Astyanax mexicanus: one gene and its partners. The protein of the gene in region 3 purifies or fractionates together with the protein of the main gene of each other region. This does not show direct contact. Links are inferred from orthologs where the notes say so. Each region holds a gene or a part of one and is shown on either strand. Other genes may lie near its edges. The genes, in order: dhx15, snrnp200 and sf3a2.

Region 1 (3,834 bases), on a different chromosome or scaffold from region 3:
GGGTAAAAGGAAGCAGTGAACAACTGTTTTCTTCCCTCATGAAATCCAAGTAACGTAATCGGCTGGTTCAACGCATTAGCTAAAAAGCATGTTGATATAAACTGGGTCAAATCTGAGAGAGCAGAGAAAACAATGCAGCAGATTAAGCCTCCCAGACAGGCACATCTACCTTTGTCAGTATTTTGCAACCATGGCCCTGGAACACCAATGATCAAAAATGAGTAAAAACCGGCAACACTTGTTGACTGAAGTATTTGCTATTTATTAGAGATGATTAAAAAAAAAACGCATACATGTCTAATGCACTGCACCGTGTAGTTTTTGCCTCTCTAACAAGTAACCTGATTCAAACAATCAGCAGATTAATGAACTAGCCCATTATTAGGTTTACGTGGGTGTTGAAAAATCATTAAAATATTCAGAATAGTGGGCCAGAGGGCCAGGACTGACCAACACTGGTTTATATCACACTTTCTACTAGTAATGTATAAAAGTGTGAATAAAAATGGCATTGCATATTTTTCACAGTATATATTATAAACCTTAAAATAATACAGGGATTTTCACCAGAAGTCACCAGCATTGGTTTGGTGTCTGTATATTTCCAACTGATACTTGCTGATGTAGGCTATATATTGAATACCAGAAAAAGACTAAGCACTGACTGTGCAACAACTTTAAAATAATTTATTTCAACATTATATTTTTATTTTATATAATCTACTGTTTTATTTATTCTGTCAATTGTTAATGTTAAAAGAAGGTTTTAAGCTGTGACCAGTCTAAGGACCAGTAAGCTAAATAGATGTAAACCAAAATATTAAAAAGTGACACCTTTCATTTTATTGTTTGCGTACTGTCGATTTTAACATTTATTTTTAAAGTCTCTCGGCAAGTCAGAAATATGTAACTATATCGGCATTGGCCCAGATATCCCACATTAGTGCATCATTTTAAAGTGTCCTCACTTATTGACTAGTGGAAAAGAGGCCTTTGTTTCTTTGAAACAAAAAAAAGCCCTGAAATTGTTATGTTTACTCATGTAGAGAAAACAGGCAGCTTCTACAAGTGTCCTGTAGGAGATTTTAAAGCCTTCAGAAATGTAAATAAGTTATTTTGCTGTAGAAAAAGGGTTTTTTGTATGATCTACACCTGTAGCATTTATACGGAACAAGGGTTATTTACGTAAAAGGTTAAGTAAATATACCCCTTCAACGTCCTTATTCATTTATTTATTGGTAATACTGCTTAGCATTGCTTTTTCTAAGGGCATGTGTGCATCTAATGTCTGTCTTGTTGTGTATTTAAACTGTGTATAAAATAATAAATATAGCTACTTAAATGTCTTATTTCTTAAAAGGTAAAACAAACAGTCAACAAAGTTACCTGACATCAAGCAACACGCCCACTACACTCCACACATGGCTAACTAGAAAGCTAACCTTAGCGCTTCGTTTTAGATCAATTAAGCCTGTCATTTGTTGTCTAACCCCTTCAGCTTTGCAGCAGCAGCACTTCACTACTGCTAAAACAAAACATGTTAAACAATATAACGAGATAATTCAATCAACTGCGTGCGAAACGTAGTTAGTCAGGTTAGCTAACCTAGCTTTAGCTCAATTTTAGACAGAGCGGGCGGCAAACATGAATTGGTAAGCTATGTGATGCTAACGTTAGCTTAGCTTCTGGTGCTAACGCTTCCAGCTTTGTGTTGGGCAGGCATGTGTGCCTGGAGACACGCAGGTCGAACGAACTGCCTAACTGGCTAACTAATCATGCGTGCAGGTTAATCAGTAAACCGCACAGCAGGGTTGCACACAGCTAGCTGTGATGTTAACGCTATTCAAAAAAACTGGGACAGGGGATTATCCAGCTAGCTAAGTTAGCTTAGCTACACAGGCCGCATGGAAAATGGACGAGTAAGCAACGTCCATGCTAGCTTAGCTTAGCTAGTGAGAAGACCGGTGTTCCGTCGAGTAAGGCTACCCATCGATACCTGCTTCCTAAAGGCACTACGCATGCGCTGATCTACAGTTATTCATTTTTTTATATATAAAATATGCATTTAAAAAAAAAAAAAACTTTTTGTGCATTATACAACCGGGATTCACTGTCACCGTGAAAATGAATAATGATAAATACATAAAAAAAGTTGATTAATAGTTTGTAATGACCTCTCACTGCCATAACTTTCAATAATACAGTGATTTATACTCTTAAAAATTCTACATAGACTTTCACTGGGACCATCTTCTAATATGGTGCTTCTTTTGCATTTTTAAAGTTAACTTACACTAGGGTAGCACGGTTTGACAAGGTAGCATAACTCGACAGAACACCGGCTAGCTGGTTATGCGTCTATATAGCTATTTAACATGAATATAAACCGAAGCATGAGTTAGTACATTCACTATAAACATGTACAAACGAGAAAATCAGACTTCTCGTATGAATGTTATGTAAAATACTCTCTAAACTGGTTTAAATGAACTGAACAGATAGGTTCACTAAGCTATTAGCATTGCCCACGTGCTAACGTTATCCTAGCGTTGCGGATGCGACACGAAACCAGCCGGCTGCTCTCTTGGTTTACCTTGCAGCTTTACCTCACATCTAACACCGGGTTTACACAGACAGAAAGAGCTCAAATAAAGGGGCTAATACACTCTAACGTCCTAATAACACCCTGTCTTGCCACTGCGTCTATAACCCGCCTGTCCTGCCGACACAAAGAGGCCGAGCGGCGGCCGCTCAAACATGAAGCAGCAGCAGAAGCAGTTTTTCATCCACACGCCGTTTAAACCCACCCGTCTGAAGACCTCTTCTTACTGGACGAGTAATCATCGCCCAGGTCCAAGCGATGCCGTTTAGACATCTCAGAAACACGGGATACAAAACGAGTTAAGAACTAAAAAATAAAAAAGGAAAGCGGTCCGCGGATTAATATCTCAAACAAACCACCAACACACACACACACACACCGCTAAGCGACAAGATGGCGACCGGAAGCACTTACCTCATCATTATTATTATTTCTGAGACTCAGAGAGGGAACGGGTTTCAGCCTCTAGAGCGAAGAGTAAAACAGACCCCGCTCTTATAGTAAAAACACCGCATGTGTTCCCCGCGGCGGCGGCGCTTCTCAGCGCGGTTAAGGCGCTCGCGCTGCGGATGCTGTACAGCGGTGCTCCGGGGAGGATGATCTATGTAGCGCCAAATTACCGTTTTCCCTCTGCAGCAGCTTCCAGCAGCCTGCAGTACCGACACCCGCCGAGCAGCGCCGAGCCCTGCTCCCCACAGACAGAGCCTGGAGTGTAGAAACGCGGGAAAATATTATATACAGATTATATTTTAACCGTCCGACCAGTTTATCGGCCTGTTCACTCAGTTTAATACATCAATGCCTCAAAGTAACATTTCTTTCACTCGGTTCTTTAGTCTGTTTCCTCTATTTATCAATATGTTCCCTCTATTTATCAGTATTCCCTCAGTTATAATACATTTATCTCAATGTAAACATTTTTCCTCCAGTTTATCAGCATGTTCCCTCAGTTTTAAATAAATGTATCTAAATTTATCTCAGTGTTTGCTCAAGTTTATCAGTGTGGTCCATCAGTTTAAAGGACCAATATGTAACTCATTTTCAGTAGTAAATGATAAAATGATCAGGATGTATAATCAGATATTAAGGAAACATGTTGAGTTAAAGCACTGGCAGCTCTTGTCAGCAGGGCTTTGGCCCGTACGTTCCTATTTTTAGTGTTTACTCCATCCTGAGTTTTGTGTTAGTTTTGTCCTCTGTCTCCTCCTGCTGCTCGTTCCCCAACACTAACT
Region 2 (3,600 bases), on a different chromosome or scaffold from region 3:
GATTCGTAATTATTACCTCCAACTTCGTAAATAATATAATATAATATAATATGATATAATATAATACAATATAATACAATATAATATATACTACATAAATAATACTTATTTGAACCCTTTCTCCCTCAAAATTGTTGGTGTCTGATGTTTAAAGTGCTGAACTACAAGCCAAATCTATTTAAAGAAGTTACTCGTTAAATGTCTCATTCCATCGTTTTTTTAATTAATTTTAAAATGTCTAGTTGTAGGTGTCTAGTTGTAGGTGTTTCTATTTATCCCTGCTTTAGATCACTGAATTAGAGGTCTCTGAAGAAAGACAGGTTTTGGCTCTTGCTCATGAATATTCATACATGCAAATATATAACCTCTGATTGGCTAGCAGCACTGCAGAAGAGAACGCCTACCTGCTCCCACCCCCCCAGTCAATTTTACAGCTCTAACACTCAAAGGACAAAATGTTTTAAGGGGTTTTAATGAATTAAGCAATAAAACATGAGAGGGAGTGCTATAACGTGTAATATTGGCACTGCTTTACTGCGTTCGTAGGCCGAGGACAAGAAAATCTGATCTGTTGTGTTATAAAAACTTAAATTAAAACATTTCCATTGCTGCTCTGTTTGTAGCTGCGCTGTTTGGCTTGTAAGTGCTGCATCATTGCTTTGGTTATGGTGCATTACTGGCTAATAATGTCACTCATAGAAAGCCTCTCTTAGCCAATCACATCAAAGGGTCGGAACTAATTGTGGTATAATTGTCTTTAATTAACGATCAATCTTCAAGTATGAGTTAATAAAGTTCTTAATGTTTTAAAAACTTTTGTAAAATGTAAAAATTTGTTCATTTATACGCTCAAACTTTGTTGTGCTTGTTTTGTAGTATTACTTTTATAGCAATGTTAGGCCAAACATGAATCTGATATAAGAAAAGTAACACATCTAGTTACACAGGTGGTTTATTGTGTCAATAACCAATCAAATTGATTATCTCTGCTGTTCTGTATTAAACAAGGGATTAAAATATAACACTACATACATCTAATGCTTATAACTTTACCGAGTCACATAGGGTTGGTTGACTTTTAATAAAAAGTTGGTGTTTTTTATACACTATATTGGTCCATGTACAGGACCAGCGCATTCAATCCAATCTGTGCAGTTTTTAAAGGAACTTTGGAACTTTGGCGGCACCTGTCGGTTCTTTAGTGGAACTGCGCCTGAAAATAATCCGCATGCGCATTCCCTACTAACCTCCAATCCACCAGGGGGGGTAAAGTTACCATTCCGGAACCACCCGGAAACGGAACTGTTTGCGTGACATGCTGCGCGCGTCGTGCGTGCGTTGTGAGTCTTTTGTGCGGGAGAGCAGAAGCAGCAGAACCCGCAACTTTTCTTCTATACCGTACTGCTATCACCCGGCCCCGCAGCTTCCCGCAGCACCCCGCAGCTCCCCGCAGGCCTGTAGCTGTAGCTGTGTGAGCGGTTAGCCCGGGCTCTGAGGATTAGCCGGGGCTTACACTAGAGCTGCAGGATGGCGGATGTTACAGCGCGTAGTCTGCAGTATGAGTATAAAGCGGTGAGGACAGAAAAATACTACAGCTCCCTTACTCTACTACTCTCATACTGTTCCACTGTAACTGTTTCTCTGTTATTATCATACTCTGTTACACTCTTAATCTCACTGTTCCAGTCACTCGGTTACTCTCATATACTTACTGTTGCAGTTAACGTTACACTCTTACTGTTTCTCTCTTACTCTTATTCTCAAACTCTCTTACTGTTACACTCATACACTTACTGTCTCTGTTACTCTCATACACTTACTGTTACTGTTGCACTCTTACGGCTTCTCTGTTACTCTGTTATTATCATACTCTATTACTGTTACGTTGTTACACTCTAACTTTTACTCTCTTAATCTTACTGTTCCTCTGTTACTCTTATACACTTTCTGTTACAGTTACACCCTTACTGTTTCTCTATTGCCCTGTTGCTCTGTTACACCTTTACTCTATTACACTCATTGTTTCTCTCTCACTCTGTTACTACTGTTACTCTTATTGGTTCTCTCTGTTCTTCTGTTACACTCCTCTGTTTCTCTGTTTCTGTTACACTCTTCCTTTGTTGCTTTTACACAGTTGTTACTTTTACACAGTTAGTATTACTTTTACACTGTTACGGTTACTTTTACATTGTTACGGTTCTTATTTCTCTCTTTTAACGTTACACTGTGACTCTGTTACACTCCTACTCTATTGCTCTGTCACTGTTACACTCACGCTGTTACACTGTTACTGTTTCTCCTTCTTATTTTCTTACTCTGTTTGTTGTTACACTCTGACTCGTTTGTTACACTTGTTTGGCACACATTAATACTGTTACACTTACTCTTTATCTAATGCACTCAGTTACATTCGTACTGTATTACTATGTAACTTTCTTACTGTTACTGTTTTACACTCTTACTCTCACTGTTTCTCTCTTACTCTGCTACACTATGGTTCTGTCTTACACTGTTACTCTAACGCTTACTGTTTCTCTGTTACTCTTTCACTGCTACACTTACTGTTACTCTCTCAATCTGTTACTGTCTCACTCACTTTTACTGTTACTGTGTTACTCTCATACTGTTATTGAGTCTGTATCTCTGTCTCTCTGTTTGTGGTTCAGAACTCGAACTTGGTTTTGCAAGCTGATCGCTCTCTCATTGACCGCACTCGCCGAGATGAACCTACAGGCGAGGTGTTGTCTTTGGTTGGGAAACTGGAAGGGACCAAAATGGGAGACAAGAGTCAACGAACGAAGCCACAAATGTTGGAAGAAAGGAGGGCAAAGTACGTATTCTCCAAATTTGCATTAACATTACGTTTCTTTTGGTATTAGCCTTCTCATTTTTCCCCTCTTTGTGTTGTAGGAGAAGAAAGCGAGATGAAGACAGACATGACATTAACAAAATGAAAGGATTTACCCTGCTGTCAGAAGGAATTGATGAGATGGTGGGTATCGTATACAAGCCAAAGACCAAGGAGACCAGAGAAACGTATGAAATCCTCCTCAGCTTCATTCAGGCTGCTCTTGGAGACCAGGCAAGTTCAGTATTTGTTGTTTATAGTTAAAACTTTTTGAAAGTGTTTAACAGCATCAAAAATATAAGCACTCTGGGGAAAAAAAAATATTCCAACATTATATTATTAGATTAGTATGATTGTAGAATCAGGTCTGTAGTACTGTATTTGGGTTGTGGCTGTGTTCTTTTTAACGTGTTTGCTTAGCTAAGCTTTATTTTGTATTATTCAATACCGCGCTCAACTTAAAAGTGTCATTAACAGACACTGCTCATGTTAGTTTTACTTTGTACTGTGAATCATGTGTAGTTTCGTGCATATTAAATTTACCTGAGTTCTGATTTATTTCGTTATTCCATCCATGTTCTCTGCAGTGTGGCAATCATAGGGCCCTGTTAAGTGCACAGTCACCATTGTGTGTACAATACAAGTACCTAGTTATTAAGATTGTCACACTGCTTTTAGGTTTGTCGCTAGGGATCCTTGTAATGTTCAATTCAGGGCTTGTATGTTTCCTTAAAATCACAAGCTTGATTGAA
Region 3 (3,834 bases):
TTTTATGTATATTTTTTTAGCTTTGTACCTGTGTGTACACTATTTATTTTTCGTTATTTTAGAATTCGTTAGATTATATTTCTTTTACCATTTTGAGCTAAGTTTAGTTAGTTATTTTCCTATTTTATATCTATTCATCTGTTTTTATTAAATGCTGCGGAGCTTTAAACGCGCGGATGAGCTCGCGTTCAGTCTCGCGTTCCCGCTCGGGTTCAGGCAGACAATCTAAACTTTAGTATGCAGAACTATATTATTATTGTTATTAATTTTACATTCTTTTAAATAGCAGGATACTTTGATTTTTATTTCTCAGCCCGGACGAGACCGGGCCCGAGGAAAGTAATGGAAAATCTCGGGTCAGTCCAGGCTCCAGGAAATAGTCATCTGTTTTTTAATACTATTTTTATTTTATATAAAGCTACGGCCTGATAATCACCATATAACAAAGTATTACTGTTAACGAAAACGAACGAAATAACGAAAACTGAAAGTGAAAGCTCCCCTTAACTGAAACTAATAAAAACGGTAATTAAAAGAAAAAAATAAAACGAACTGAAATTACAGATTGAATACCCTCATTTTTGTGTTTGTTAATTTATTTATAAGCGCTGTATCCACTACAGCAGCGTAACAGCGGGTGGTGTTGTGCCGTTTCTGCTCGTGAAGGGGAGCCGGGGTTCAGATGTCGGCAGCGCGATGCAGCGCGCAGCGCCTCGCGGTCCGCAGAATTGCTTATATTTACAGCCTCGAGCTAGCTGTGAAATAAGGACAGGAAACTCTGAGGAAGCTGCAGAATTCTGTACGGTATTAGAATATGAGCGTGAGTGACATAAAAAAACTGTTTTGTAGAGAAATAGGAGATGAGGAATATTTAAGGAAACAGCTGTAACTTTGAGTAAATCACACTGAACACCCCATGCTGCAGGATAAACTGATAAATCTAATCATTTTGGTGGTTGGTTGGTTAGTTGTTAGGGATTTATTGTCACTTCAGCACAAATGTGAAAATTAGTGAAATCTGTAGAGTTTATTGAGTTTTTGCTGTATGATCTCCTCAGTGAGAATCCCCACCCCATAACCAATCAGGGAGCTCCAACTGCTGACCCCTCCTACTGCTCTTTCATTGTGGATGCACAGAATGTCTTAAACGTCCGTTTTTCAAAGTCCAGGTTTGGCACATCACGTGGTTAATATACCGTCACTATTTTACAATACCGTCACCATATTTAAATACCGTGGTATACCGAAATACCGTCATACCGCCCAACCCTATGTAGGTTGCAAAATGTAACCAGCGAAAGATTCTAAAATACAATACAATTCAACAAGCCTGAGTACTCTAAAAATCTTGTAAGGTAAACAACAAAATTTGATTGGTTAGAGGACTCCTCTGCATAAAAAGGCCTAGAATCTTACCTCATTATTGTGAAGCGTGAGACACAGTTTGCACTCATAAGACCCCAAATGGTTTTTCATGAAATACGGATCCTTATTGATGTCTATCGTTTCCAAAGCCAGCTGCCGTAAGCGTTCCCGGCGGTCTCGGTTGCTCTCCGAGGCGGAGGCAACTCCACCGCTGCCGGTTTTCCCTCCAGCTCTGTGTTGGAAATCCATCTTCACACACCAGGGGGCTCAGAAGCCGAGACTGAGAATCTCAGACTCTCTGAACGAGTAAATGTGAGCTGACCTGATTCATCAAACAAGACAAGAGAAACACACATGTTACAAGTTACATCACATCATCACAATATTTTTTTTTTTATATATATTGTGTTATTTTACATATTTACACTTACATTACATGCATGTTTATGGCAACTGGCTGGTGCTCTTTTATACAGATCAAAACGATTTGAACCAGAGGAATAAGAAAACAATGAAAACCTGAAATTAAAGCTCATTAGTCTCTAAGCTGTGAATTGCTTAGACACTAGATATTCACTATAGTTTATTGATTATTACAGTACCAATCAAAATGTCTATGTTACTTCCTTTTCTTTATTTTATTTATTTTGTACACTGTAGACTAATATTAAAGACATGAAAACTTTTAAGGGATGCATACGGAATTATGTAGTAAACAGTAGGGGTGGGCGATATGGCTCTAATATAATATCACGATATTTCAGGGTATTTTTGCGATAACGATATACTTGGCGATATAGAAAACCAGAAAAATAATTAATTAATTTCAGGAATATAGTATAATAATAATAATAATAATAATAATAATAATAATAATAATAATAATAAGAGTATAACAGCATAATCATAATCTGGCAAAATAAATAATATAGCATAAAATAATATAATGCAGCAAAAATATTGCAGAATATTTAGTGCATGCATATAAACTGCAAACTAAAACAATTATACAATAAATACACCTAAAGCTTCACAGTAAATAATAGACTACTTTTAAGACAGAACATCTCTATTATCACGATATGGATTTTTAACATCACGATATTTCTATCACGATATATTGTATACGATATAATATTGCCCACCCCTAGTAAACAGTGATAAAAATGTTAGTCCTCCACATTAATCCCCTGATCTAAACCTGATCGTTAGAAGAAGAGATGACCAAACTTTGGTCTGGTACTGTATACAGACCATTTTACACTGATTAAGATAGTTAAGTTTGGTTAGCTAGCGGTAGCTATGCTAGTTGTTGTTTCTTTAGCCGGATAACTAGCTAGGCTAACTGGCAAACTCTAACTGCTAAACCCCATTCAACACTCAACAGCCAGTTCCCGCTTATATTAGAGACTTATATAAAATCGAATACATCATTCTACAACCACATAACACACTAATAATTACAAATAATAAATAATAACCGTATATGCGCTATAAACTATATTATTTAAGAATATATCTCACCTACCTTAACGTCCAGCTCACGCTTCTCCCCGCAGACTACACGTTTGCGCATGCGCTGAACCAGAGCACGCTTCCTCTTCCAGTTATTCCGGTACAAAATAGTAGTTTTGTAGTTCTGTAGTTCTCAGTGCAGCATACAGTTAGATTAATGACTATTGTAGGATTTGTGTGCAATTATTTAAAAAAAATACTATAAGAGTATTTTTTGTTGTAAAGTTTGGACACTTCTCATCTTCTCACTGCAAAAAAGCTCTTTATCACTGGCTGAGAAGATTTGGCAATTTTATTTTCCTGTAAATATTTTTTGTTGTTATTTAATGTTTTATTGGTTTCAAAGTAATTGCAATTTACAGGAAAATATTACATTAATCAATCTCAACAAACAAACAAAACATTTGTTGGCAGCACACCAAAGAGAATAAGCACCAGTGTTGTAAGCAATAAAAGATTCTATAAATTAATAAAGCAATCAAAACAGTATAAGTATAAGTATAAGAATGGTACATAGCTACAAGTTAATCAGATTTTAATATTCTACTGCCTTGTCCCACACTTCATAGTATAACTTACATTCTTGGTTAAAAGAATAGGTCACTCGTTCCATCAAACATTGGACATTTTTTCATGGGCACAAACCACATAGAACAGCTACATACTCAGCTCTGCTGCTCCTCCCACAAATGTGGTTCCGTTTAAAAGAAAAATTAACAGGTTTTCCAATGGTTTAAGATTTACTGCCAAGAAATCTCAATGTCATCCGCTAGTATTGGTCCACTGTGTTATATAAAGTTTAAAGTCAGTGCACTGTTTTCCGGAAAATCTTACAGCACTTAATGCTTTCCTCTGCTGACAACTTTTATGGAGATGCAGATTTCATTTTCCAGCAGGACTTGGCACACTGCCCATTACCAATTGGTCTTACATAATATTCTAATTTTCTGAGAC

The links.
Region 1: the proteins of sf3a2 (region 3) and dhx15 purify together in Homo sapiens (affinity purification with mass spectrometry; 4 studies listed by BioGRID and IntAct, with this or other methods). This does not show direct contact. The link is inferred for Astyanax mexicanus from reciprocal best matches to the Homo sapiens genes SF3A2 and DHX15.
Region 2: the proteins of sf3a2 (region 3) and snrnp200 purify together in Homo sapiens (affinity purification with mass spectrometry; 4 studies listed by BioGRID and IntAct, with this or other methods). This does not show direct contact. The link is inferred for Astyanax mexicanus from reciprocal best matches to the Homo sapiens genes SF3A2 and SNRNP200.

The regions. Positions count from the first base shown.
Region 1 is NC_064415.1:27,957,561-27,961,394, forward strand, and holds the start of dhx15 (pre-mRNA-splicing factor ATP-dependent RNA helicase DHX15), read right to left. Parts: upstream 2,997-3,834; 5' UTR 2,876-2,996; coding exon 2,808-2,875; intron 1-2,807.
Region 2 is NC_064419.1:15,951,448-15,955,047, forward strand, and holds the start of snrnp200 (U5 small nuclear ribonucleoprotein 200 kDa helicase), read left to right. Parts: upstream 1-1,303; 5' UTR 1,304-1,527; coding exon 1,528-1,572; intron 1,573-2,666; coding exon 2,667-2,830; intron 2,831-2,910; coding exon 2,911-3,082; intron 3,083-3,600. UniProt on the Homo sapiens protein: Catalyzes the ATP-dependent unwinding of U4/U6 RNA duplices, an essential step in the assembly of a catalytically active spliceosome. Plays a role in pre-mRNA splicing as a core component of precatalytic, catalytic and postcatalytic spliceosomal complexes.
Region 3 is NC_064411.1:49,889,530-49,893,363, forward strand, and holds the start of sf3a2 (splicing factor 3A subunit 2), read right to left. Parts: upstream 2,994-3,834; 5' UTR 2,894-2,993; exon of another isoform or gene 2,890-2,893; intron 1,688-2,889; 5' UTR 1,615-1,687; coding exon 1,417-1,614; intron 1-1,416. UniProt on the Homo sapiens protein: Component of the 17S U2 SnRNP complex of the spliceosome, a large ribonucleoprotein complex that removes introns from transcribed pre-mRNAs.